2 linked regions of the Drosophila melanogaster genome follow. The protein of the gene in region 1 interacts with the protein of each later gene in a pairwise test. Each region holds a gene or a part of one and is shown in the gene's direction. Other genes may lie near its edges. The genes, in order: HP1e and Cdc6.

The links.
Region 2: the proteins of HP1e (region 1) and Cdc6 interact in a two-hybrid assay, tested with the Drosophila melanogaster proteins (one large-scale study listed by BioGRID).

What each region holds. Positions count from the first base shown.
Region 1 is NT_033777.3:9,319,552-9,322,922, forward strand, and holds HP1e (heterochromatin protein 1e), read left to right. Parts: upstream 1-2,218; 5' UTR 2,219-2,274; coding exon 2,275-2,799; 3' UTR 2,800-2,810; downstream 2,811-3,371.
Region 2 is NT_037436.4:8,630,961-8,636,296, reverse strand, and holds Cdc6 (cell division cycle 6), read left to right. Parts: upstream 1-2,227; 5' UTR 2,228-2,347; coding exon 2,348-3,917; intron 3,918-3,995; coding exon 3,996-4,414; 3' UTR 4,415-4,788; downstream 4,789-5,336. Other genes in the region: Zasp66 (Z band alternatively spliced PDZ-motif protein 66), read right to left, coding at 545-616, 1,216-1,295, 1,514-1,714.

The sequences.
Region 1 (3,371 bases):
AGCACGAGATAAAAGTTACAATCAAAATTCATTGCCTACTTATGAGCGCACGAACGAATCTGGCTTTCCATTATGACCGTGTACACCCCAACAGCCTAGCAAGGAAGCTAGGAACTGCAGCTGTGGTCAATGCTGACCCTCGGACTAGAGTCAAAAGAAGACTCAAGCGACACCACCCTCATGACCTCCCTAACCTGGTTTTGACCTAGAAAGTCTTAGTTTTAAAATTCATTAGAATAATCAAATAAATAATAATTACTATGTTATATCAACTATTATAATTCTCCCTAACATTTTTAGGATTAAAAATCTGTTAGTCTTAAGTAACCAAGACACATTGTAAAATAAAATAATTTAAGCAGATCAAATTAAGTTGCCGCATGGGTAACAGTGCGTTGATCAAATAATAAAAACATCAAATATTGGTCTCAAAAAAAAAAAAAAAAAAAAAATTATGACCGTAATACTGTCAAAAACAAGCACACAATAATTATAATGATGATCAAATAAAACTGGAAATTAGCCCAAAGTGTGTTAAGTCAAGCGAGGAATCCGAACAAAGGAACTACAGCCAGCACTGGAGGCAAAAAGTGACAGTAAAATTGGCTCGAAGACAGCGGCTAATGAGCGTGCGATAGGAATAAAGGAGTAGAATGGGGCCAAAAACCCAAGAAACTCAAGTTGGCTAAAAGGCAAAGATATCGCAGTACTAGTCAAATACGAGAATACTGAGAGAGCATTTTGCGATGGGCTTGTGGCAAGACTAAGCGTCTTACTGGCAAATTGGGAACGGGGTAAGAGGAAAAGCCGAAAGCTAAACAAAGACGGCCAACGCAGATGGCAAAAAGGAAAAACTCAATTGCCGCACAAACCGAGCCGCCATTGTTTTCTTAATTGAGTGTCTTTTGCTAGTGTGTCTGTGTGCCAGTATGTTTGCTCATACATATATGGGGTATCTGTGTGCCAGGACACTATGCTCATTGCCGCCTATCTGCCGGCAGAGTTCGCTTATCAATTACATTGAATTTACCCAGGCAGAAATGGCTTTTAGCCATTCTAGGCACCACCCCCTGCAATCAATATTTGCCGGAAGTGATGGCATAGGCAGTCACATTGACTTTTGCGCCGACTGCTCACCTCTCCACTTCCTGTGCTTCCGATTTGACGCTGATTTCACAACTCGCCGCACGGAAATTGCCCGGCCCCCCATTTACGGCTTCAGTAAACAACCGCACCTCACGTTTCTTGACCACCCCTCCACTCCATTTCGATTTTCGAATCTTCACTGTACTGCAGTTGACGAAGGCGCACATTTTATGTATGTATTTGCCGTGAATCTCCAACTCCATCCTACTTCATAAGTCGCCTGATTTATTCCGGCCACGTAGCACTCACTGCACAGTTTGATTGCCACATTCGCATGTAAATGCTGGCCTCTAAAAAGTATTCAAACCAAGCGACCCAATCCCACAAATCTGTCCCACGTCATCGCGCATAATCGAGCTTTTAATTTCGGGTAATAAAACTTTGCCGATTTAATATCAGGTACGTGGCGCCTTCATTCTACAAAAGAAAGCCATAAAATGTGGAACTGACTTCGAGGGAAGCCATAAACTTATGTTTTTCAATGAAGGATAAATAAGAAAAATAACTAGTTGTTACACCTTTCAAATTTTTAAAGCATATTCCCCAATTTATTGTCAAGTGATTCATCAACGATTTCTGTGGCCTGCAAAGTTTGCCTTGAAAGGCAAAAGATTTTGTTCATTAAACAACGTGATACACGAAACCAAACTGAAAAAAACTTTGTTCTACGAGTATTTCAAACTTTTCGCCAAGTTTACGCATAATTTTTTACGATATTTTCCGCAGTTTTTCCTTTTGACGGCTCATCTTATTCTTATTGTTGTTCGAAAGGACTTACCCAGCATCCAGGGATCTCTAATAGATTTCCGGCAAACAATTTTATTCACTTTCTGCTATTGAATTTGGTATTATTAATGCCGCATTTCCTAAGCTGTGGGCATTAAGTATATGGCTAACTTTTCTACTTCAGGATATTAAACGAATTCATTACAATATTTTTCATAATTTTATTTCTTTTGGCAAGAAGATATTAAAGTAGACCAGCATTTAAAAGAAAACTTGTCTGCACAGAAAACTACGTTTTGTTGAGTAGCAACTGTAGATAAAAAGTTACGAAAATGTTTTTCGCTCTGACATTGCTGTCAAAACTCATCAAAAAAATACTATTTGAACATTTAAAAATATAAAATGGATTCAGATGCCGATGGTGGCGAGACCGTTTCGAATTTCTCTGAAAATTCGACGGATTTTGAAGAAACTGAGGAGTATATTGTAGAGAGGATTTTGGATCGAAGGCATTATATGGGCCAATTACAATACTTGGTCAAATGGCTGGATTATAGCGATGAAGATAATACCTGGGAATCGGCAGCAGATCTCGATTGCCATTCACTTATTGATTCGATTGAATCACAAAAAAGTCTGAAGAGGGGTCAAGAGCTGAATAATCAATATGAAACTAAAGCTAAACGACTGAAAATCGATCCATGTCTAGTAGTAGATAGTCCTTTTAATCATGGTTTCACTGCACAAGAGATTCTAAAAGGCGCTAAAAACAATGGTGAAATATCGTTTTTAATTAGGTTTTGGCATCTCGATCAACCACAAGTGGTGCCAAGTGGAATTGCATATGTGGAAATACCGCAGATGGTTCTGAAATTCTATGAAAATCATTGCAATTTTCACGATTATTTAAATAATTATATATCATGACTTGCAATTCTGGATCTTCAAAAAAAAAAAACTTATGAATATGTGTGTGAGCTTCTTATATTTTATATGTTAGGTTAAATTGCTTTACTTTTTATAATAAAAGGTGTCCCTTTGCACAGCATTACAAACAATAATGAAGGCAAAATGCCAAGTTTTAAGTGATTTTTGGGGCGTGTTTGCCCGACAGGCAGCGTAAACACTCTTAATTGCAACAACAGTGCCGGCAAACAAGGGCCAGGAATGTACGACGGCCAAAATGAAGCGAAAATATTTGCATTCCGTTTTTGTGGCCATTCCCTTGTCTCATCGCAAGTACCAAAAGTCGTAAGACCTATTCTCTGTTTTTGGCTGATGGGGCGTGGTGGCCGGACGTACTTTTGCCCTATATATTCGTGTTTGTTTTTCGTCACTTGGGTCCTTTTTTTTGGAGGGGGGGGGGGGGGGCTCTGGTGCTACCCAGTTGCGTCCAGTGGGCACGTAGCCACAATAGCAGCAAAAAGGTTTCGTTTAAGCCTTCTGCACTTTTGCCGAGAATTGATACTGCAATATCCGGTCGAGCAAGTTCAACTCCA
Region 2 (5,336 bases), on another chromosome or scaffold:
AACTTACATATGTCCTAAAAACCAAAACTGAAAAGCCTCAAGACAAACAACGTTCGCTGGGGGTTTCGGTGAAGATCATTTCCAGAAATACACATATTTACATAGCATGATTTCCTAAGCGCAGACTCAGATCATTTGAGCTTTTCTTTGCAATAGGACGTTTTTAGGAAGAAGAAAAAAAAGGAACACACATATTCGTAGACAGCAGAGCACATGCATTCGGGTTTTTGGACTCGTGTCGTGTTGTTTCTGTTGTTCTGACATAGATATTGTATCTGGTTCTTAGAAACTACATATATAGTTCAGTTGTTCAGGTTGCGGGAGACAACAATAATCGAGGGTTAGTCTGTACAGACAGGCAGGGGAAAACACGGGAAACTTGGCAAACATTCCTCATATTCAATTTAATTTGTCTCAAGGCAAGTTCAGGTACAATTCCACGTTCTTGCTCATTGTGCTTTCCATATCAAAGTGAAAGTGAAAGTGAAAGGATTCAATCAAAGAACGAAATCAGGCTGTGCTCAAGATATGAATTTACTTTTACCCGTTAAGTTTTGTTGGCAAAGGACGATGCAAAGGACTGTCCTTCAAGCGATTGCTTTCGCTTGTGGCGAAGCTACAACAATATACATAGAATATATATAGGATATATAGAGAGTGGTATATTTATATATGTAAATGTATATAAATGCATGTAAAACAGAGATCCGGCAGTAGGCAGTAGTAAGTAGTACGTACAACATCTATGGACTGGTTTTCGTGTTCAATCGTATGTTCGAATTGTGTGTGTTTCTCATTTCGTGTGTGCATCGGTTTAGTAAATTTCGTTTCGACTTTGATTTTGTGGCTTTTGGGTTAGTGGATTATGGCCGCAGCTTAACCAGGAACCAATTTTTCGGGTTATGTGGACCTTAGGCTACTCGTAACCGTGTGTTCGTGACTCGTTTTATTAGTTTTCAAGCTACTTGGCGCATTTCGAGTGGCTCTCTCTGTCTCTCTGGCAAAAAGAAAAGCTGCATCAAAAATTTCGAAGAACTCTACGCAGGTTTATTCGTAAATTGCAAAATCCAAAGAATATGTAGCGTAATTCATAGGCTTATAAGTTCAATTTGACAAGCGAATTCCAAAAGTTCATATATTAGTGTTTTTTTTTTTTCATTGTATCGAGCTAAGCATAGGAGTTTCCAGATGGTACATTTCTGGGTGACAACTTACGGAACTGTGGATCTGATGGTGTCCTCGATGTTGTTGTTGGAGTACAGGCCAATGGGCGAGTTGAATTGCTTGTGGAAGACCTAAAATCGGGGGATATATGTACACAAATGTAAGTAAAACCCATTACAACTTACACTTAAATTAAATACAATCAATTTCGTAACAGGATTAGAACAAAGACTACAGGTCACGAATTCGAAATGTTAACATTGAAAATATCAATTTTAAATGTAGAAAACTCTAGTTTTTGTAATTTTCCATTATGTGGGTGTGACTTTAAGAAGTCCCCTGTACTTACGCGGCCAGTGTCGGCTTCCGAACCGACCACCTTGTGCAGCATGGTGTCGGCCACGCGCTGCTTCATGATACTGTCATGGTAGTCGTGTCCTGGGTGGGCGCGCACAGCCGGGTTGGGGTAGTGCCTCAAGTAGGACTCTGTCGTGGGCGCATCCTTCTTCACTTTGGCGCCGGGCAGGACCAGCGGAGTTGTACGGTAGGGCTGGAAAGCGGATCGGTGAAGATTAACGACTTTGTTTACGCCGAAATGGGGCACACATTTGGCCGACCAGCCGTTGCGGCAAATGATAATATAAATAAATCAGACAGAGATTAAAAGAGTTTCTAGAAATCACCAGATCTTTGCCCACTGTGCTACGTATTTCTCCTTCGAGCGTGTGTGTGCATAATTTTTTTCGCTATATCTAAATTCCATTTTATGTGCGCCCGTTTATATACTTTAAAAATATCCCATAGCCAGGGGAAATATTTTTAGGCGCTTACGTAAGCGTGTTCAACGTCCAGCGATTTGTGTTTTCTATCTGCCGCGGACCATTTTATTTTTACCAGGCCGTCCACACGCGAGTATGTAAGTAATTCAATATAGGCGGACTGCTGTTTGAAATGTTGTAACTATGCGCGCCTAATCGATAGGCGATCGACAATAGGCAGCTCTGGGCTAGAGCTGCCAGATGACCAGACCAGGCTTGATCAGCTGTTGCTCGTGGCGAATGGCAAACTCAATTTGCGCGCTTTTTTAACTGTGACTGCCAGCTGAAAATTGTAACGCACGCTGTGGCTTATTTAACTCGTATTTAATAGTAACTAACTGCTGATCAATAAACTAAGCTAAAGAATGGCTGCCGTACGCCGCTCCACGCGCCTTAGTAGCATCAGCAAAGCGACCGCCGCCTCTCCGCTGCCGCCGTCGACGCAGACGCCGCGTCGCTCGGAAGTTTGGAAACGCAGGCAGCCGAAAAAAGTGCTTGCCGATAGCGACGAGGAGGAGGAGGTGGTGACGGCGATCTATGACCTGACCAGCCCCGTTTCAGAGAACAACGAGAACCGCAACGTGCTCAACAAAATGGACAAGATCTCCAGGCGCAGGACATCGCAAGTGCAGGTGGCTCAATCGGAGCTGCCAAAGACGCCACGCAGCACAAAGAAAACAGTCCAATCAGCTGGCAGTTCACGGGCCAAACGTGAGGAGGAAAACCGTGAGGCCACCGCTAGATTCTTGGAGGGCGAACAGGATTCGGAGGTGGACCCGCTTCATGGATCGCCGCCGAAGCAGAGGAAGTTGCAGCCACTGCCACAGCACCTGATCAGTCCTTCGCGGCTGCTGGACAGACTCAGCATCGACGAGCGCCAGGAGGAAGAGGTGGAGGCGACCACACACAAGACTGAAACGGCTGAGCAGCAGCCGAAACATCAAGCCAAGGACGAGGCAAAGCCTCGGCCAAAACAGCAGGAGGATCCATTAGCGCAAAAGCAGCAGGAGAAACCTCCAACAAAGCAGCCGAATAAAAACCAAACTAAAGAAAAAAGCAATATCCAAACCAATGAGGAAACCCAACAGAATAACCTGCCATCTCCCTCACGCAACAAATACCAAAACGCCAGACGAGTGCTCAACAGCGCCGAGACACAAAACTTGCCAGGACGTGAGTCCCAGCTCCAAGAGCTACGTGAATTCTTCAGCAATCACCTGGAAAGCCAGACTTCCGGCAGCCTCTATGTCTCCGGTCAGCCAGGAACAGGCAAGACCGCCTGCCTATCGCTACTGCTGAGAGATCCCGACTTCTCCAAGCGTCTGCAACGTGTGTACATTAACTGCACCAGCATAGCAAGTGTAGGAGCAGTTTACAAGAAACTATGCACCGAACTGCAGCTCAAAGTCAGCGGTCGCACAGAGAGAGATCACTTGGAGGCCATTCAGCGTCACCTAAAGACAGCAAAGCGAATGCTTCTGCTGGTGCTGGACGAGATTGATCAGCTCTGCACCAGCAGGCAGGAGGTGTTGTACACGATCTTCGAGTGGCCAGCTCTTCCCGGCTCCAGGATACTGCTCGTGGGCATTGCCAATAGTTTGGATCTCACAGATCGTGCGCTGATGCGACTGAATGCAAGGTGCGAGCTGAAGCCCAGACTGATGCACTTCCCGCCCTACTCCAAGCAGCAGATCGTGGAGATATTCAAGTCGCGTCTGGCTGAGGCGGAAGTGCTGGACGTCTTTCCACCCGTGACCCTGCAGCTGCTGGCCGCCAAGGTGAGTGCGATCAGTGGAGATGTGCGAAGGGCCCTGGACATTGGACGACGAGTGGTCGAGATAGCAGAGCAGCAGAAGCGCGATGGCGAAAAGGAGTTCAATATGAAGGCCCTGCAGCTGGAGGGCAAGGATGCGGTGGAGGCCAAGGAAAAGCAAGGTAAACCTTCGTTTCTTTAGTATATAAAGATAAATTTATAGAATGTGTTAAAAAGAAATCCTATCTTGACTATTTCAGACACTCTAAAGCCTGTTCAGGTCACCCAAGTGGCTGCAGTGCTGAACAAGGTCTACGGTGCCTCACAGAATCTGGAGGAGGACATCGAGGCATCATTTCCGCTGCAGCAAAAGCTAATGCTGTGCACCCTGGTGCTGATGCTGCGCAACGAGCGCAACAAAGACATCAGTATGGGTCGCCTGCACGAGGTCTACAGGAGAGTGTGCGCCAAACGCAACATCCTGGCCCTGGACCAAGCGGAGTTCACTGGGACTGTGGATCTGGTCGAGACCCGAGGCATTCTGCGAATCATGCGCAAAAAGGAGCCGCGCCTGCACAAGGTTCTGCTGCAGTGGGACGAGGAGGAGGTGCATGCGGCACTGAGCGACAAGCAGCTGATCGCCTCGATCCTCAGCGATACCGCCTGCCTGAGCAAGTGACGATCTGGACGATTACCTCTAGGAAATGAGTGTGCCCGACAAACCGCTGGTTAATTGCGCATTTTTCTCATTTTCATTCACCTTGGGGACGAACGTATATGTATAGGAATACTTTTTGACGCTAATTTTAAAATTCGTGGCTGGCGCAAGCACTGAAATATTTTGAAATATCATTTGACGGTCACTTTCGACATTTTCTGCTATTTTCTGACTATTAATTGAATCGATTCTTTTAGACTTTGTGTGTGTCATAAATCTAAGTAAATGTTGCGCCCATAATCTATTTCTAATCCGATCCGTTGACCAATAAGTTATAGAGAATCCCCTTCCTGTTAGCCCTAAGCAAATAAGAATAAACTAGATAGTTCCGCAATACATAAAACGCAAAAGTGAAAACGTTTTCCACTTTCGCTGCGCCGCAAGTTTGAATCTTGGGTCGTGCCAAAAGTTGTGAAAATCTTAGGGAAAGTCTGTTGCCATTGTTTTCTGAGGCGTTTTCAGAACATACCAGTCAAATTAACACCAGTGCTTCTGAATTTGTGTGGGCTTTTGTTGGCCATCTCGACATGAAATTAATTTGTTCTATAATCATTTTGTTTATTTATTTGCTGGCTTATTGTTGTTCTTCCTGCGCTCTCTGCTCTAAAAATATCCCCATTTGAGTGGTATGAATTACATTGAGCACCACCGACACAACCAGAGCGCAATGAAAAATATGTTTCAAAAACTCTGGTTGCCTTTCGACGCGTATTGACGAAAGGCGAACAAATGTTTGAATAATAAGCTATATGCAGAGAGGCCAGCTAGATATATGCATGAATGTATCTATAGGTATATGGCGTTCTATATTCCTATTCCTCAAAAATACATATATTTCTGAGGGAGCAGTAAGGCGAAAAACCTCGAAAAACATACAGGTCTG